2 linked regions of the Oreochromis niloticus genome follow. The protein of the gene in region 2 purifies or fractionates together with the protein of the main gene of each other region. This does not show direct contact. Links are inferred from orthologs where the notes say so. Each region holds a gene or a part of one and is shown on either strand. Other genes may lie near its edges.

Region 1 (10,080 bases), on a different chromosome or scaffold from region 2:
GTATGCAGCAAAAGTTTACTCTAAAAGTACTGACACAAAAAACAAGTGATCGCCTCCTTCAATTTCAAACTGACACGACAGGGAAGTGCATCCGCAGCCTGCTGAAGGCCACATTTGATGAATCTGTTTACTTAAATCACTATCATCACTGAGCAGCCATCATCATCATTTTCTCCTTGTACACTGGAGTGCTAATACAGCATAATTGGAGGCTCTCTAAACAGAGCACCTTATGAATATTCACAAACACAAAGGAGCTCATTGTCTTCACAGGCGTGACAATTTTAGCCATGGGTCTCAACTGATAATTGGACAAGGATATGGAGGTACATGCAGAGGGCATGTCCGTGCAACCATGCACTGAATGCCCGCGTTAAGTCAGTGCTTCCTGTGGGTATGAGTATCATTTGCTTATCATTTGAGTCTCCTCACATGTGCATTAATTTGTCGTGCTTTCCTGATCTTCATCTGCTGAACAGCTTTTATGACAACACAAAAGAGTCACACTGCTGGAAAATTAATGCAGCCATTAAGGCTTTTTTTTAAATAGCTCTGTGTGTGCGCATGCTTCACTAATGTGATGAACCTCTATTCAAAAACAACTCCTAACTCCTAAAGCATGTGACTCATACACCATACCTAGTTCCTAAGGTTACTCATCAAATTAAAATGGAATTGACCAGCTGGTACGCTAAAGGAGATCAATGGAGGGAAAGGTCAGGGATGTGCCTGTCAACTGCCAAAGTTTCACTGAGCGTTTCATTATCAGCTGATAGAAACTACTGTCTCCCTCCCTAAGCAGCCATGCCCGCTTACTTCTACATCCATTATTCACCTCCTACATTCTTCTCCCTGACTGGAGAGACTGGTCCGTACAGCTGGTGTACCACGTCTACCTCCTGAATGTGTCCAGACTTCTGTTCGTTCTGTTTCTCTTTTTTTTTGCTTTCTTTGATTGCCTTCACGCGAATGAGGCAATTACTCCGAAATCTGCGCATCTTATTCACATTTTCCTCTGAAGAGGGAAAAACACAATAATCTGGTAAATTGTTTCTGTCTAGCCTGCTTTTTGCAGAACAGTCCAATCAATATCCCGTTTACCAGTAGGGATGCTGTGATTCAAGTTTTTCTCCATTGATTTTGACTGTGGAAAGTTTGAAAGTGACATCAGTGTTTCCCACAGATTTATGGGCTATTTGTGGTATTAGTGGGGGTGTGTGCCAAGAAAAATGCACACACTTCCCTAAATGAATTATTTAAAATGTCTGCAGATATTTTATCTGCCTAACAATTTATGAGAATAATAACTGAGCAAACTGATCAGCTGCCGCTCGAGTAAGTTTTTTTGGTGAAAAGTGTTGACTGTTTGATTGAAGTACTCGTTCTGGCCTGTAGCCTCTGAAGTGTCATTTAAATATGACCGCAAAAGAAAGTCCATGCCTATAAACTGCTATGTTAAACTGCCCAATTTTACAGTATTAAAAGACATACATGCTGCCAGGTATAGAAAATGTTTTGGGCCTCTGTGGACAGTTTGATTCACAGGTGTCCCATGCTAGGCAGCATTCACTACTTTGTTGTTTGAACATTTTTATGCATCTAACTTGAAAAATAAACACGCATAAGCTGTCTGGGTTAAAGCTGTCGCACAGATCATAAAAAAGAACAATTGTGCTGTAATTGTTTTCAAATTAAAATTTCAAAGCTTTTTACAAGGAAGCAAATGTTTCAGCATTTGATCTTTGATTTTCAGTAGGAATGGATCCATATTTGAGCCAAATCTTTCTAGTGAGCTATCCGTCTTCTCTTTTAACCTCCTAAGACCCGAACTCTTCCACACCATGCATTTTTAATTTCTCTTTGATATTTGGTCACATTGGGGCCCAATGAATGTAAAAACAAAGAATTTCCAGATTTTTTGTTTTTACCTTATTTTTGTTTTTAAGAAAAACGAGAGCCACAAATGAGGATATTCATTTAAAATTTTGATAGAACAGTAGCAGTATAATGTCCTCGTAAGTGGATATCAGGCCCATGTAGAGCAAAATTGAGTATTTTGGTCAAAATAACCAAAAATGTGATGTCCACATATGTGGACGCCATGTTCTAGGAGGTTAAACAAGACCCAAATGTAGGACGATGTCCTAATATGTAGGACAAGGGGTCAAGGTATAAAATGCTGTTCAGCTCCACGTGAAGTAGGACACCTTGTCACCCTAGATACTTGGAAGAGGCAATCAGTAGAACTCCCAGTCAATAAAAACAACGTGTGATGTTTGGTCTCATATAATGAGACAAAATTGCTCTTGATACTGGACGCCTGTGCTGTTTATACTGTGGTGAATAATTTACATTCTGGGTGTCGACCTTTACTCGGTGATAATATGCGTTCACGAGAGTGTTTGTTTTAATTTTATTATCGCTTCTAACACGTTACTTATTACACCTGAGCTGTTTTGTAAAAACGTTTGTTCCCTGCCAAAATCTAATGAGTTAACTATAAAAGTATAATTTCTAGACCAACGCTTGAATTTTACATACATGTAGGTTTGCGTTTTACTCACATCAAGCATTGTAAAACAGTCTTCTCTTACTTGTTAAATGCATTTTATAAAGGTTAAACATTAAGATGTATGCGAGTACTGATATTGACTAATGTGTAAAGTTGTTATAGCGACAGGCTGCCGACACTCAATCGGCGAAGCGTTTATCCTTTACACAACTGTCTTATTTACCTTTACGCTATGCAATTAAAGCAGCAGCATTCTTTCTTTTTCCTCAAAACTCATTTTTCTTTTCTTGCAACTGCACTTTTCCCCCTCGGAGGCTCACTGCTGCTGACACACAGAGGACTACGTGCAGCTTCAGCCGTGCTGGCAGCTCGCCGTCACGTGACACTTTATCCTTAGCTGTAAATAATTCAAGTGTTGGCCTCACCGGTGTCAAGTGTGGAGATCTGTGTCTAAGCTCGTGGATAATTCAAACCGCTGAACAAAAGCCCAAAATGAAGGATCTGGTGTCGTCTGCTTTCATCCCTTTAGCGCTGAAAGGCTCCACAGCGCCATCTACTGAGCACTGGGATCAATTTCATCAGCCAGAGCCTTTTCAGATTTTTGTTTTTTTCTCCATTAATTTGAATAAGTTCACATACCCGAACACTGAATAGGCCCGATCAGGTCAAATTACACAACCTCACAAGTTTTAAAGTAAAGAGAAAAGCTGCATAAGAGGGATTTTGTAAAAACTTTATTGATCAGCTCAAGGAGTTTAATCGAAGAGGCCGAATCCCATGTCATCATCGGACTCCTCAGACTCTTCCTTCTTCTCCTCTTTCTTCTCCTCAGCTGAAAAACAAAAAGCACTTGATATCACTTCCTGCTGTCATCACCATGACACAGCAACCTGCTCATGTGGTTGCCTAATATAACGGGTGTTTTGAAATATAATTAAATGCAACTGATTTTTATTTTTGAATTTCCCAGTTTTTGTTGGGTGTTGCTTACACGCTGCTGTATTAATATGAAAACAAAAAAAAGCCTCTTTTCTAAAACCATTAAACTTAAAACCTTAGCATAAATTAAATTGCCTGCACTGTATTTACCCAGTATAGTGTGGATTTTGTGTGGATTAACTTGTTTAGATGCATCTTTCATGTCAACAGATCATTATTTGGCTCCATGTAGTTGTACAAACATACAAGGTGAAGGCAAAATCACAAAGTGCCAAATATGATTGATGGTGCCAAACAAGGTGCTAAGCTGCAATGCTCACCTGCAGCAGGAGCTGCGGCTCCGCCTGAGCCAGCAGCTGCAGAGCTGGCAACGGCTACGGCACCACCTGCTGGCATGCTGGCCAGCTTACCGTAACCTGAGGAGACACGAGTTGGCAGACATGAAGCACAAGTGATAACATCGACACTCAGCAGTCAGAAACAAGACAGAGGTCAGAAACAGTCCGTTATCATTACATGTGGTCTGACTTTACACATCTCATTAAATACAACTTTTTTCTTATCTCATATTCAAATCGATTCACTTTGTCCAATAGGATATAATGCCCTGCAGGTTTATAGAAACTATGGCAAGAAAACTCTTGAAATTATCACAGCAAATGCACCATGACACACACATGAAATATTTTATTTCTGCCCACAAATAGGGTGCAAGATCAGCTATCACGAAGACCCAAATAAGAAAATGAAATATTGATGTTTTACTACTTGTACTCACACCATCCCAACTGTATTTTAGGATTGTTTTTGCATTACAAGTATCACTTGCTGCATGCACCAATAGCGCTGATATTAACCTTTAACACTGTGCCACTTTTCTGCCCATCTGCAGTACTCTACATTATGACATTTATATTTCATACTGTTGTTCTTAGCTGTATCTTTTTTTTAGTAGTTGTTTAGTAATTAGTTCTTTTTTTAGTCTTTTAAACTTGATACTGTGTTTGTTTTTAATTCTTACTGCACAGAGTGTGTAAGATGACTAATAAAACTTCATAAGTATAATTTGTGTATACAATAAGTAATTTGTATATACACAATACCTTTATTAACCATTTTCAATGAACAAATTCTCCAGTATAACTGTGATCCATACACACTGTGCCATCCTCCATTGCTGAGGAATCCAGCATTGAGAGCTTAGTTCACTCATATTTTTAATAAATCTTTTTTTTTTTAACCCTTAAATCTGTTTTTCCTGTGCGTCAAAGGAGTTTATCACTAGTCACAATATCCAACATCATAAACTAGTTCAGACCCCTGCAGGCAGTCCATTTCAGTATTAAAATCATGCCTGAATCCATTTAATTCTAAACTTTCAGACCTAACAACATTTCAGCCAAACAAAATTTTAAACCAAAATTAATCATGGTCTCACACACACATAAATGAAACTGCGGGAAACTCACCTGTGGCAATAACGTCATTCACGTTCTTGCCCTTCAGCTCACTGATAACCTGTTGGGAGAGAGAGAGAGAGAGAGAGAGAGAGAGAAAGAGAGATGCAATTATAAACATAACCTAAAGGTAGGAACCAGCTGCTGGGAAAAACTGAAGCCACAACAGTAATAAAACACAAAGAGGAGCAGGTGGCTGTGTACCTTGTCGAGGCGTGTGTCATCGGTTTCAATGCCAACGCTCTCCAGGATCTTCTTGATGTCCTTGGCATCAGGGTTTTCATTGCCACCGAGGGCAGCCAGCAGGTAAGCAGCAACGTAACGCATCCTGAAACACAAAGTTTACTGGAAACATTAGTAACCATGCTTGACGTTTGTATGGACACAGGAACATGAGTGATGTCTAAAGTTCAGACAATCTGTTTTTACATTAACAAAAGTGGAAACACCACAACTCACACAAACATGTTCATTTTGCTTCATTATCAGCATATGATAAATTTTTATATAAAAATCAAAGCCTGGAGAAAGTCATGACATGTCTCAAAAGATCAATCTCTGACTTTTATGTGAAAATGTTACGGTTTATAAGAAATATATGGCTTCATCACAGCAGGAAAATATTAAATGTTGTCCCTGTTAATGCATCATTAAAAAAACAAAACATAAAAAAGACATACGGTCGACCCCTTCAGGGGTCAGTTTTTTCCCCGGGTTTAGACAGCTACAGGACTGTGATCCCAACGCATTTCTGAGTTATTACGGCGATTTTCAGTAAAACAGCAGTTCGCTGCTTCACTTTACAGCCGATACCCATCGTCCACTTATCTAAAAACTACATATTTTCCAATATTGAATATGCTTCTACTAAAATACAATTTTCTCTACCTCTATAAAGCCTAAAAAATGCGACAATGTGGGAAAACACAGCATAATTTTAACACCCATGCGGCTCTCCGCTACCATTAGCCAACCTAGCGTCAGCTCCGGGAGCCAAAGAACGGAATTAATGTCGGCTAAACGCTCTTTAATGTTCTTAAAATGCCTGGGCTGAAAATGTACATGCTTATCTGGGTGGCTCGGTTATTTTCTTAGTGTTTAACACATTATTTACGTTTTAAAACCAAACTTACTTGAGCTAGATAGGAGAGCGCGTGTTCACTCTGAGGTTAGCACGGACAGAAAGGAAGTTACGTCACCGGAAAAAAGCAAAGTAGCCTTTCTTCTTCGTAAGCGCATTAAAAGTAAGTAGGAACCGAGGCGAGGCCTGCTGCTCAGGAGTGTGTTTGCAACCTCGGTGTAAAAACTTTACCTAACGCGAAATATTACACTAAAGAATACATTCAAATTCTCCTTCTTCCCCTTCTTTTTTTTTCTTCTTCCTCCTGTCCCCCCCTAGGAGTTGCCACAGATTATCTGCCTTAATTTCACCCTATGTCTTGCGTCCTCCTCTGGTATACCAACCCTCTGGATGTCCACCTTCTCTCACTCAATGAATCAGTTTTGTGGTCTTCCTCTTATGCTCCTATATGGCATCTCCAGATTCAATATCCTTTGTCTCTTTAACTTTGCTTTCAAACTGTTCAACCTAAGCTGTCCTTCTGATGTACTCATATCCTGTATAAAAGAGTTGGAGCTTGTAACTACATGCTTTATTGATATGAAGTGCTGGATGAAATGTCACTTTTACAAGAATCAAGGTTACTTTAATGTCGCTGTGTAGAAAAAAAAAGTGACACTGTACACTTCCTGGAAAATTAATTTCTCAGGAGTTCTCAGGAAACAGTCTTTGTTGTACTTTTTGTGATGAGGCAGTGTGTGTTGTGTGTCTGTGTGAGGTGCCTGAAACTAAACACTCCCTCCAACCCTTTTCCATATACAGTGTTGTGAACAAATATAAAAAAAAAAGAAAGAAATCAGGAAGAGGGCAAATACTTTTTCACAGCACTGTATACATAAGGGAGCTTGAGAGAGTCTCCGGTTTCAGGGACCTCACATGGACATACAACACGCACTGCCTCATTAAAAAAGCATAACACAGACTGTTTCCTGAGAACAGCACTGTATGTTCAGTGGTAAGTGGCCATTCTGACTTCTCCTGAACTCAATTATCAGTTCTCTGGTCCTGTTGGTATTTAGAACCAACTTGTTTTCAGCACATCAGCCTGTCAGCTTCTGAACCTCTGCAGGCAGACTCATCTCCTCCACTGATCAGCCCTGCCACGGCATTGTCTGCGGACTGCGGAAGCCACGGCATTGTCTGATGGGTTTTGTGTTACAGCGTAGCGTGCAGTCATATGCATACAGGGTATGCAGAGTAAAGAGAAGGGCTCCAGCTGCAACCTTGTGTGGCTCCTGTGCTGAGTATGTGAGTGGACTGGCTGTGGACACTTGGAGGCCTAGACTGGACATCCTGTGAACATTTTTCTTTCATTATAAATTATTTATGAAACTTGACCAACTGTGAATAAATGTAAAAGTTTACAAGTCGTGGGCCGAGTTTCTTTGGAACTAACTTCCAGTGAGGCAGGTTTATAATATGGACAAATCAATGTCGCAAAACACAGCTGTTTTTTGTTAACATAACGCCTAATATAATGCACAATAGTAATCAATTGCTTATTAACTAATAATAAAGTATTAGAGGCGTTTGTAAAGCCTAATCATAACCCTGTTAGAGAGTGAGGAACTAAACAAGAAGAAAAGCAGTAAAGACATTTATGTAGATGTATTATTTTAATCTTGCGATCTTTCAAGATGGGTGGGAACAAATCTCTGAGATTTGTTTTAGCATAGTGCAACATTAAATTATAGTTCGCTTGTTTTTTAATTTGCACTCTGTTCAATTAAACAGGAAAAATAAATAAAATCTTAAATTATCCACAAAGGTTACTGGGAATCCATATTTGTATCTCATTCAGGAGACTTTAATCAACCTTCTTCTGGTGCTGTTTGCAGGAGTCCATCCCTACCTCATTATTTGGGTCAATACTCGTGTATAAGATAAGATAATAATCAGATAATATCTGTACATCATCTGCATCTTTTTGCAAATGAAGCTTTGTGCTTTCGTGACTCTGCAGCAGCTCTCCTCTAACCATTTCAGTGTGTGTTACACTGTATATGAACATGAATCAGCTTCTTCCTCCTTGTCTGCTGCTACTGCTCACTTGGCTCCTGGTCCGGTTTGGCCTCCTGCCTCTTCTTCTGTCCCTGCTGCTGCTGCGTTTGGTCCTGGGTGTGATTGATTTCAGTTGCCAGAAGAGACGAAGTGAACCATCCACACATGAGAGCCTGCGACGGATGGCGTCAATGCCATGAGAAGGCAGCAGCTGTGCTGTGCTCTCAAGCTGTAGTGTGAACAACCAGCTCTAATGAATCGCTGTCACGTGCGCTGCTTGGTTCCAGGAGAACAGGCCCGAGCTCTTGTTACAGACCTCCTTCCTCTCAGACATATACAGTCTGGATGGGGCGCAAAGACTACTTAATACTGACAAGAGCAGCAAACTTACAGGAGTTACCTGAGAGGGATACTTGTCAGATAGGCAGACTGTTGTCTTAAACGAACTTGGATGTATAACATTTAGTGAGTAAGCATTTATTTCTGGATTTCATCCCATTTCTGTAATTTTCATCACAGAAAATTATAATTAAGGTACCAAAACCGCATGGGAGAATGGGTTTAACCTCATTAAAGCATTCTTTCATAATATTCATTGTCATATTAGAATGATATTCAGGATTTACTTCAGTTTACAAGCAAACAGAGGTCTGTCCACAGTATACGTGGGAGAAACGCTAAGATGAAAGGGCTGGTTAAATATATACAGAACACAGACCACTAATGTCAAGGTTCATGGTGAGAGTCATCCTTGTAAAAGCAATAATAATGATAATAATGAAAAGGTTCTTTATAACGCCAAGATTAAATCACTAACTGAAGATTGTCAATATTAGAAAATGTTTCCAGGATTGTCCCATGGTGTCATCTGAGTGCCTGCGGTTACAAAGACGAGGTCAATAATCAGGCTTTAGTTTAACTTTTATTTAATTATTATTAACTGGGAAATAAGTTGTTACAAATATAACACTAAACGACAAGTTTTAAAACAGCAATCAGCAAGAAATGACTAAACAAAGAACTGTGGTATAAGGACAAATGTACAGGGCCATCTACATATTACACTGCTCAGCTGCTCAGACATGGAGATTCGCACCTCAAAGCTACCTGCGCACAGTCTTCATGCTGATGTTAATGCCAGAGGAGGTTTGGAGCGCTGCAGTTTCTGGGTCTGCAGAGTGTTGGCGGCTTTAAGTGCTTTTTACTACAAGCCCCAATAGAACCTTTTAATGTTTAATTTTAAAATTTCAAGAATTAAGAGGTGTGGCCCAATACTTTTGTCTGTATAGTGTATTATTAGCCTTGATATTTGTGAATGTTAACGATTTATCTTTGCATTGAAAAAACTTTAGGAAAAAAACTAACAAAGTATCATAATAAATGCTTGTTTTTATGGATTTGTACTTTGTTTTATCTTTCCTTTTTCTGTGGAAAGAGCCAACAGAAAATATCTCTGGATATCAACGAGTGTCAGCTCCTCCGCCCTCTGGAGCAATCAGCCCACAGAAGTGACTCATATTGAATATATTTCGAATATAGAGGAAAACGATGGACACAAAAGAACTGCTGACCTTCATGCAGTCATGTCATTCGGTCCTTTACTTTGTTCCCCTCTGTTATCCTAAGCATTTCACTCTACCCCTGATGGCCGTGTCTGTCCTTGTGTGATTATTTCTTTTTTTTTTCTTTTTTTTTTTGAAAAAGTAGAAATAAGAAAGCATCTTATAAAGACTAGTGGAAAAACAGACGTCAGTGATGAAATTAATTTCAACCTGCCACATAGTACGTCTATATGTTTGTGGCATAGAGCCATAGTTGGTTATATTAGAGAAGTCAAAATAGCTGCTGTTTATTCAGACAACGAATTTACAGTTTCTGTGCTACTTGATTTTTCTATATGCATCTAATGATTAATACAGTTTTCAATGGAAATCTGAACTTACTCATGATTGTCCTTGTTGTGATTTTATCTTTATGTTCCACTTTCACATCCATTTGGGTATTTCCATAATACTCCGACCACATTTCCTTACCTTTTAGTTTTGGTGACG
Region 2 (10,080 bases):
AGTACTAACCTATGTGCTGCCCTAGTATGTGGGAACAAAACTCTTACAGCCCATACAAATTAGTAGACATGAGTGTCCAATCACAGCTATTTTATAAACCACTAGGTAAACTTAAACTGGCTGATAGTGTATTTGGTATAACGATCAAAAAAGAGTTTTACCTCCCAATTTTAAACTAATTTAGACGTAAAGGGGCATTACTAGAGCAATGCTGTTTGATGAGCTGTGGGTTCTCTAACCCGTCCTTGCAGCAGAAAGCCTTTCTGTATTTGAAGAATCTCTTAAGGGTCAGGTTTCCCAAACTGAATGACTTTCATATCTTAAAGTAATGATGAATTGTTGTTTATTAGTTAAATGTTAATGGATTACTACATAACTACTACATACAAATAGAGCCTTTTGCTGTAATGTATGTCCATTCTACCTCAATACTACACAACTAGTGGTCACAAAAGCAATTTTAGGAGTTAACAAAAACATATTTAGTGATATTTGATCACTCTTCTTGGCAGAATTGGTAGAGTTCATTTAAATTGTTTGGTTTCCTGGTACGGACCTGGTGTTCCAAAATTTTAGTGGCTTTGGAAAAGCCATTCTAGAAGCTTTGTCTGCTTTATCCACTCCAAAACCAGTTTTGATCCGTGTTTAGCATTACTGTCCTGTTGAAACATTCAGTTGTATCCAGCAAAACAGCCAGAGAGCATGATACTGCCACCACCATGCTCGATAGTCAGTATATTTTCAGAGGTTTAAAATCCTCCAAACTCCACAGTGATTCCAAACCTGCCCTACTGTACAGTGACACTGACATTCTAGCAGAGTCCAAGACTCAGGCAGACTTGAGCCTTGGTTGTTCCTGAATATGCTAACCAATTTCTTCATCTGAGTGACAGGTAGGGTCTTCTTCCAGAACTTGGCAGTGATGACACATCCATATAACTTGTACTTACACCAAATTGTTCAAACTGATGATCTTGGAATCTGCAGATGTTTATAAATGGCTCCAAGACACCTTCCCAAGTTGTGTAACTCTGTAATTCTCCTTTCTTGGACTTACCAGTTGTTCTGCATATTTGTCAATTCAGTGATTGTTGTCAAATAATTCCCTCTATGCTGGCAAAGAGAAAGTCAATTATGATCGCTAATGAGAATGCCCTTAAAGCTAAAAGTGAATGTGTGTATATTTTTTAGCCTGTATATATAATTTTGACCCTGTGTGGATTACAGAAAAAAACCAAATAAACTCAAAGTTGTGTACTAAATATTTTTTTAAAACATTAAAGATGTATGCCCTGCAATCATTATACCAGGGGAAAAGAACAATTCAAAGAAATTATTAAGGCTCAAAATATCAAGTGTATGTAAACTTCTGACCACAACTGTGTATTCTGCAGCTTGATAGCTTTGCACCGTCTGCTTATTCATCAGGCATTTTATGTCCATTGTGTCAATGACATTCACTAACCTCTGCATTAACACTTCCAATTAAAGTTCTTTTACTAAACCTGCAGGTACACACGACCACAGCTGAAGATGCACCTTCAGTACAGTATTATCTGTACCCTTGTTAAGTGCCACTTTTTGACAACTGAAACTGTATGCAGACATATTGTCACAGTGAAGTGCAGGAAAATGCAATGTTTTTCTTGTTTACTTTGTACTTCAGACCGATTGACCTTGTAACATGGGCATGATGAAGGCATCTATGACAGAGAAAACATGCTCTATGCAGATGGTAGTGTGGCTTCCATCTGCCAAGCAGTGAGGTGCCAGGGATGTCCAAGTACAGCAGACAGAACTGAAAATGGCTGATCAGGAAAGCACATTTATACACTAGCTGGAAAAGGATGGTGTACACATACATGCCAATTCGCAGGTCACCTCCACTGTACATTCTAAACTCTATTACTGCCATACTCCTATAAAGAAGTCGACTTGGGGAAGATTTCATTCACGTTTAGGTGGAGACAGCTAGACACTGTAGAAACACATTTTGAAGTGTAATCCTCTTTATTAATATTGTGTGGTTTCTATCCCTTCCTCATATCTGCTGTAAAATAATTCACCCCTCACGAGTTTGTTCTTTGCTTTGATTTAAATTCTCCAGTCAGGTTCAAAGTTTTGACCACCCCCAGCTGTAGTCTTGACATTTTTGTTAACACCTTCAATATCTTTGTTGGCCCTAGTGTATCTAATGTGAGGAACTGCAAGGTGTACCAGCTCTCAGTCATGTAAATATTGAATATAAAAGAAAAATAAACTTCATATTAGCAAACAAGTTCTGAGCATATACTTGTTTCTTTATGAATATTAATCAAAACCATAAGAGCTTTTTCTGTAATAGTCTTAATATTTTGGACTGAAAGGTAAATGAAACAACCAAGACACATCTCAATAACAAGTTTTTATTGAAAACAAACAGGTGCGGGGTCCAGCTCAGGCTATGCTGCCAGCATTGGAGGCAATCCTGGGCCACAGGTCAGCACACTCTTTGGCCACTGGGCCTGTGATGGCAGAACCTGTAGACACACACACAAAGGTACGCAAGTCCCAATACTTATGTTATTTTAAAAGCTTGAAAAATAAACTGATTTTACAGTGGAGAGGCATAAAAGTTAGATAAATTTATAAGGTGGTGTTACTTTCATTACTGGGAGCACATAGTTTGGGTGAAACATCACATTAACCAATACATTACAAGAAAAAGTTGTACTGAGTATTTATAAATTGTCTCATCCCTGATTGAGATCAGTCAGCCACAGTGGGGTCGCTGCTGTCTCACCCACAGTGATGAAATCAATATTCCCTTCTACGACAACTCACCGAGCCACTGAGCAGACAAAGCAAGTGCTTTTGGAAGGGCAAATATGCTCCTGTCATGACAACACACCAATCATCTCCCTGTACAGCAAGCAGGATGAATGACACGCCACGTTTCAAAAACCCACCTTTCATTTCTCCTTTGTTGTTTACTATGACACCCGCGTTGTCTTCAAAATAGAGAAACACGCCATCTTTTCGTCTATACGACTTCCGCTGCCGTATCACCACCGCAGGATGCACTGTGGAGAGGGGAACAAGGTTCATTTGAGCTCAAAATTTAAAACTAAAAACCGCATTTAAACACTTTTTGCAACTGAGACTAGCAACTTATATTTAGACATTTATAGACTGCAGCTGGTGACTGTAGTTCCTGCTCTGCTCCAGGGATCTTCCAGCTGAAAGGCTACTCCAACTAGAACCTGCATGTTTCACTAAAGTAAAGCTGAACAGACAAAGAGGAATACAGTCACCAGCTTCGTTGTTAATGGATCCACAGAAGAAAGACTGAATGGAGATATTGCTCCTTATTTTAATTTTGTTTTGTTATTCGCCATTGACAAATTACAGCACATGCATGAAAGCAGCTTAAATGACATTTAATAATGAGTTTATGAAAGAGTGTGCAACGCCGCAAACAGAACCTACATGTCTGGTGAAGACTGCATGACGACCAGTTTCCCACTTACCCTTCTTCCTGAGCTCTGGCTTGCCTTTCTTGACTGTGGCCATGACCATGTCACCAACTCCAGCAGCAGGAAGACGGTTCAGACGGCCCTTGATGCCTTTCACAGAGATGATGTACAGGTTCTTGGCACCTGAAAAACATAGTGAGAAACACCATAATGAGAACAGAGGACAGGGTGGAAGAAAATAAGATCTACTCCCGCTCCTGTTTATGACAAAACCACGTTGTCAGCTTGTCTCATCCCTGATTGAGATCAGTCAGCCACAGTGGGGTCGCTGCTGTCTCACCCACAGTGATGAAATCAATATTCCCTTCTACGACAACTCACCGAGCCACTGAGCAGACAAAGCAAGTGCTTTTGGAAGGGGTGGACAGAAGTAACCAACTAGTAGCCATTGTCCAAATTCTTCAATCCTGTTATTGCATTTTCACTTTCAAACAACAGTGCTATGTTTATGGCCAGGTTCACATTATGTGAGATGCAGGTACTCAAAGTTCTGAAACTGTTTCCTTTTTTGCTAAGTACTTTTTAAATTTGTTCTAGAAAAACAACACGCCTGCAGTGTATAATTACTTTACCCCCCCCCCAGGTTAAATAATTATACACTGTTATCAAGAGTGCTCATTAATCTGCATATAAATCCAAGTTTAACTTCAACAACATGTTTTTGAACATAGATTTTAAGTTATGTGAGCCTTCAGGTACAATCAAACTTGTGGTCAAAAGCATTCTCTCTAGAGAAAGTGGAAACAAAAGAACCATTTTGGGCGAGATCCAAGTTTTCCTAATTTCCAGTCACATTAGACCCTGACAGAAAACCTCTCTCCGAGAACTGACACACTGATGCTTTGCATACATGTTAATTTTCACACAGAGGTTAAAAAAAAACCAAACCCTCAAATAATCCATTTATGTGCATTACTGAGTATAGTAGATACCATGTAGACATGTTTTTCCAAGTCGTCACTTACATTTAATGATAAAGCTGCTTCCAGAACAACAAAAAGCAGACTTATTCAGTGCAAACATCAGCAGGTATAAGCAACAAGGATTAAAACAAATATCTACACAAAAGCTACAATGATTACACTTACTAATGTGTTTTATTAACCTTTTGTGATCATTACTCTGCAAACAACTGCATTAAGAAAAAACCAACAAACAAAAAATACTATGAAGTTACAGGGAATAACGCGTAAAGGGGTTTCTTCTCTGCACAGGACAATACCAAGGTAGTGAGGAGTTTCTCGCCATTCCAAGCAGTAAGAGAAATAAATCTAGGTTTCCAGTACATTCATCCTTGAGCAGCATTTGATGCTCCATAACCAAGTTAAAAATGAAGCAGTTTCACAACACTTCCAAAATTTGAAAAAACTGAGATTTACTAACTTTGTCCTTTTGTGATACTTTGATGTTTTTACTTTTAACTTGACCCATTTACAACAACACAATCACAAACACTACAAGGAGCACACCAAATAAACTAGATCACATACAGTGAAGAATGATGTGGCCGGTCTTAGTGAAAAGATAACAGCTCAACGTGAAAAACAGTAAGTTTTTGGCTGGATCTTAAATTCCCATCAATCAGTTAAGAGTTTAAGACTTTTTTGTAAAGAAAAGGTGAACAAGAGAAGCAAAAGGAAAAGCCAACAGGAGTCAACCTGACACAGCAACGAGTTATCACAGACCTACCTGTGTTGTCCGCGCAGTTGATGACTGCTCCTACTGGGAGACCCAGGGAGATGCGGAACTTGGCTCCAGAGGAACCACCACGTCCTGCAGGAAAAGAGAAAAACGTCCGAGTAAGAATCATTTCTACCTGACAAATTGGGCATTTGTGATTTAAACTCAGGAAAGATACTGATATTTCAAATGTAAATATTTACCACAAGTGCCCTTGTGTACTTATAGTGACACTGAAATCCCTGACTCGGATAAGCCTTTAATCATCACATGGGTCCATTTCATTTTAGCAGCGAATGCCACATTTGAGAAATCTACACACCCACTGTAATACATAAGCCACAAGCTACAGCATGCTTTACTGAAGCTTATAACAGAGCATGAATATGACCTTTGATCAGGTCAGGGCACAATGATGGTTAAAATTCAGAGAAGCCCAATCTAAAGGAACTTCTAACCTTAATGACATTACATGTATGCAGTCATCGACACTGGTTTACACAGTTGCCAGCAGCTTAAGCTCCTTTTAACCAACTTAGCACAAACCATACGACAAATATACAACTTCTTGCTATTCTGTTTGATTTCGGAGCCGGAAAACACGTGAACACTGTAGAGCTATTTTCATTTCACTGGGTTAAGCGTAAACGCAAGTAAGTAGTAACCAAGAGCTAAAACTACAAGCATTTTCCATTTTGCTCAGCAAGAGTTTGTTTCAAATTTGGCAGCTCCAACTTATCCATAATTCACGCTTAATGTAGACCGGCGCTGCTTAGCTTTCCCGGCTAGCCCTGATTACCACAAACGAATTCACTTCATTGGTACAATTTCAGGTCAGGAAGCATCGTTATAATTCACATAAAAATAAAGACCTTCACCAAACAGAAGGCTAAAGTGTGTGGAGGAAAATGCGACTAGCACGTACACATTTTCGGCCTCTAGCATTTCTCGTTTCAGTAATACATGGCGCTGAACGAAAAACATGGCTTCCTTCAACTTCCCATCTCAACCGCGATCTTTATAAAATCGCTAACTTTTGTCATAATTTTAAAACTGGTCACACAAAAACATTGATTTAGCCTCTCTATCACACATAAGCAACTCTATAAGCTGTAGCTCATCTTAGAAAGAGCAGATGGAGGTGGATTTTACAAAGCAAGCCTCATACCTCTCTTAGACATTGCTGCAGCACGGAAAGAGGAAGGCGGAGAAAGGAATTGTGGGTAATAAAGCAGAACAGAAGTTCCTCCGGGTCAGGATGACGAGACGCGCTGCGTTCAAGAACAGTCGGGAAAATTCATCAATCAAATTTGGTGTTTACGTCATTTTTGCGTCTACGATCGAACTGGATCACAAAGTGATGTTATACTAGCCTTGCGTGTTTTAAAAATGGCGTTTACCTTAGTTTCCCACTGTTTCTTAATTTTGCAAGTCCAGTTTTTAATTTGTTTTTATTAGTATTTGAATCAAATTATTTACTGTTTACCTAAACAATTTACCTGCCTGTTGTATGTAGTTTCTGTTTAATTCTGTCTTGTGAAAGGGTTGAAAAATAATTTTAACGGTCTTGGATAGAAATTTGGTTATACAATCATTTGTCTGGGCTGCTAAGAAGTTACACTGTTGTAATTATTGCTGTGCTTTATAAACACATTTTTGTTTGAAAAAATCCTGTGGCTAAATTATCATTTCATATCATTCACGGTTTGTTATTTCATCATAATGAATCAAAACAGATCACTGACACAACAACGTGCTCGTATGTGTGTCTCTATTTAAAAACTTCAATCTGTCACGTTAAGACTTTAAATACATTTCATAAATATAGTTAAGCAAAGGACTCAAGGAAATTACATTGTAATCCACATGATGGGACAACAGAAATTAATTTAAACTCAGATGCACCTCTTTCTAAAGAAAAAAAAAAAGAATATGAGGCTACATGTATATCTTTTGGGGGGGGGGGGGGTTCTGGCCCTTGGGGCAGCAGAAGCAGGTGTAAAACAGCTTGTTGAGCTAATATGAAGAATCAACAGAGGTCAGGATTGGACTGGTAATCCAGCCCAGGGTAGACACACTTGTAGGCCGTTGGGTCAATATGATTTTTGATCTAACGTCACACCTAAACAAGAAAACAAGCATAGTCAGAGTCTTAATTGTGGTTAAAGAAATACCTAGAAATAAGTTGTGATAGTTTCTGTGATCTCCAGTACAGACTGTGATTATCTGGCCTCTGCTGTTGTTCTTTGTGGATTTAGCCATCCGAATTCTTCCAGAAATAACTAAATATTACACAAGCTATCATGGCTGATTTCCAACCCTTAGACAGTATAAAAAGAGTGTAATGATGGAATTCAGTGAGTGAATCTAATCAATAAGTCCTGTAAGCAGGGCTATCTGACTATCTGTCTGTCCCCATCATGTAGCAGACTGCGGGGTAGGCATTTAGTAGTGAGTGCTGGGCGAATCCCCCCATCACTGGCTTAAATCAGTTTCTGTTAACCTATTGTGGTAATACCCCTAGGATCAGAGACTTGGACCCTTTGAACAGAGACTGCTGTACAGAGGTAATCTTATGTTTATGTCATTTTACAACACAGCTCACCATTATAAAGAGTTTCTAAATGTTTTAAGGGAATGTTTTTGCTTTCAAATCCAAAAGCAACCTCTATAACAGTGATTCCCAGGCTGCAAAGGTACTGCAGGTAAACTGCAGTAACAAGGGAAACATGTTAAGTTACATTTTTATAGAAATGTATCTATTTACATAAAAAGTGAATTAAAACTGGTAATAAGAGGTTGTTAGTTAGTTATATTACTCTTTATTCTCGCCTAAATTTACAGCTCTTGCATTGAAGTATTGTATTCAAGTTGCAGGTGTGTTGCACAATCGTCTTAACATTTTGCATATGACTGGGAAACATTAGCAATTTATATTAGTAATTTACACCTATAAGCCTGTGTTGTTCATGACAGTTTTTTTTAAAAGTAACATTGCCAAGGAAATATGTCACTTTCTCTTGTTTTTTGATTAGAGTGCAGATTTAAGATGGCTTTCTGACTTTTCTTGACTTTCGGAATAGCTTCTCTTTAATATTATAATAATAATATTTAATATTATATAATTAATATATATTAATATATGAACAATAGTCCCATAATGCAATGTGTTGGTGATGTCTTGATCCCGAGCTCTATATCAGGATTTCCACTCCTCCCACTCCAGTCACCTTTACTGCTGAACAAATCACGAGACAGCTGATGAAACTCCACTCAAGCAAGGCTGCGGGCCCTGATACTATGAGTCACAGGACTCTCATCATGTCTTCAAGATAAGCGTGAATCTCCAAATGGTCCGTGTACTTTGTAAGAAGTCCTACCTCATGTCTGTGGTAAAGCTGTCATGTCCTTGTGACTAATGTCTGTGTGTACTCCAACCTGAACAAGCAAGCATTGAGTGATTTGTATGACCGACTCCTTGGTTTTTACTTTTGGAAAGTATTACTATGAAATGTAGCAGAAAAAGATAATTATTATAGCTCTGGAAGTTGATTTTAATCTACTATTAACTTAAAATTAAAAACAGGTAGATTCAAATTTTGAAGCTTTGATCGTTCACTGAAACATACAGAAATTACCACTATTGTTTCCAGGTACAAAACCACAAGAATAACTATCACATTTTTACCTTGAGTGTATATTTACCAAATTATATTTCAGAGAATATTTTTCTAATTTTGAAGGCTTTATCACCTCATGATAACCAACATGAATGTCTACATGTTTTATTTAAAATCTCAGATATTACAAAGATTTTACAGTTTTGTTGTTAACAGATATTATATTCTTACCAAAACTGTTTTGTGGGATAGACTTCATTTTAAAATTTACACAATAACTATATATTATATTTAACTGATTATTCTGTCATGTAAAATCATGACCCCACAATTGCCATATTATTACCAAGTTGTAATATAAAACACTGCCAAATGTTGACATAGATAAAAAATAAACATCATTTGTCTTTCCAAAATTTATTTTGCCAAAGTATAATTATTACAGTTCGTTCCAGTCTCCATACCACCTCTGCTATTCTTCTTTCTTAAGAATAACTAATGATCAGAGTTGATTAATATTCCTTTAATGTCCACAAATAAAGGAAAAAATCCCAAAACAACAGAAATGAGTAAGAGCAAACATTCATTTTTTTTTTTCTCTACATGGCAAATTTGAGAAAACTTGCCAGGACTAGATTTAATAAAGTGTTGCAAATCTGAGTTGAAATATTCTGTAAAATAAAATCTGCATCCCTTAAGATACTCATATTCTCAAATGATACATTCAGGAGATATTCAGTCTAATGTGTGATAGAAAGCAATACAGTGCAAAAGTTGTGCTACAGTATAGTATAGTATAATATATATAAGTGATATAATTTTCTTTATCCAACGATGAGCCATGCCACCTTGGCCACTGGCACACTACACTATGATGCCCTAAACTATGCAATACTAAGCTGGATAATCAAAATCTTCATTTGATGGTGCATATCTCCTCTTCCTTGTACTCTTCATTCTTCTTGCTGAAGATCGTTCCATCAGGCTGGTTTACCCAGTTCAGTTTCACGTTTCCAGCTATGTTTTGCTCCTTCAGTTTCTGAATAAGCTGTGAATCACAAACAGTTTTTATTATTCTCTCAGCGACTGAAATTTGTGTTTTATTAATTTTCACTAGTTTCTGATTGAGAACAATCAGAATATTTTCATATTATAAAAAATTATATATTAGTGGTCAGACGTTTATGTACAATTATCATGGGGATAATGTCATTTTTATCTGGGAATTTTAATGATTGCTTTGAACTATTCTCATAGAGGTGCTG

The links. The genes of interacting proteins can lie anywhere in the genome.
Region 1: the proteins of rpl23 (region 2) and rplp2b fractionate together in Homo sapiens (co-fractionation; 4 studies listed by BioGRID). This does not show direct contact. The link is inferred for Oreochromis niloticus from reciprocal best matches to the Homo sapiens genes RPL23 and RPLP2.

Annotation. Positions count from the first base shown.
Region 1 is NC_031965.2:17,970,467-17,980,546, forward strand, and holds rplp2b (large ribosomal subunit protein P2), read right to left. Parts: upstream 6,188-10,080; 5' UTR 6,042-6,187; intron 5,237-6,041; 5' UTR 5,236-5,236; coding exon 5,113-5,235; intron 4,970-5,112; coding exon 4,921-4,969; intron 3,868-4,920; coding exon 3,772-3,867; intron 3,345-3,771; coding exon 3,268-3,344; 3' UTR 3,225-3,267; downstream 1-3,224. UniProt on the Homo sapiens protein: Plays an important role in the elongation step of protein synthesis.
Region 2 is NC_031969.2:3,806,736-3,816,815, reverse strand, and holds rpl23 (large ribosomal subunit protein uL14), read right to left. Parts: upstream 6,482-10,080; 5' UTR 6,377-6,481; coding exon 6,364-6,376; intron 5,289-6,363; coding exon 5,205-5,288; intron 3,639-5,204; coding exon 3,510-3,638; intron 3,063-3,509; coding exon 2,949-3,062; intron 2,520-2,948; coding exon 2,437-2,519; 3' UTR 2,390-2,436; downstream 1-2,389. Other genes in the region: putative C-type lectin domain family 20 member A, read right to left, coding at 9,732-9,863.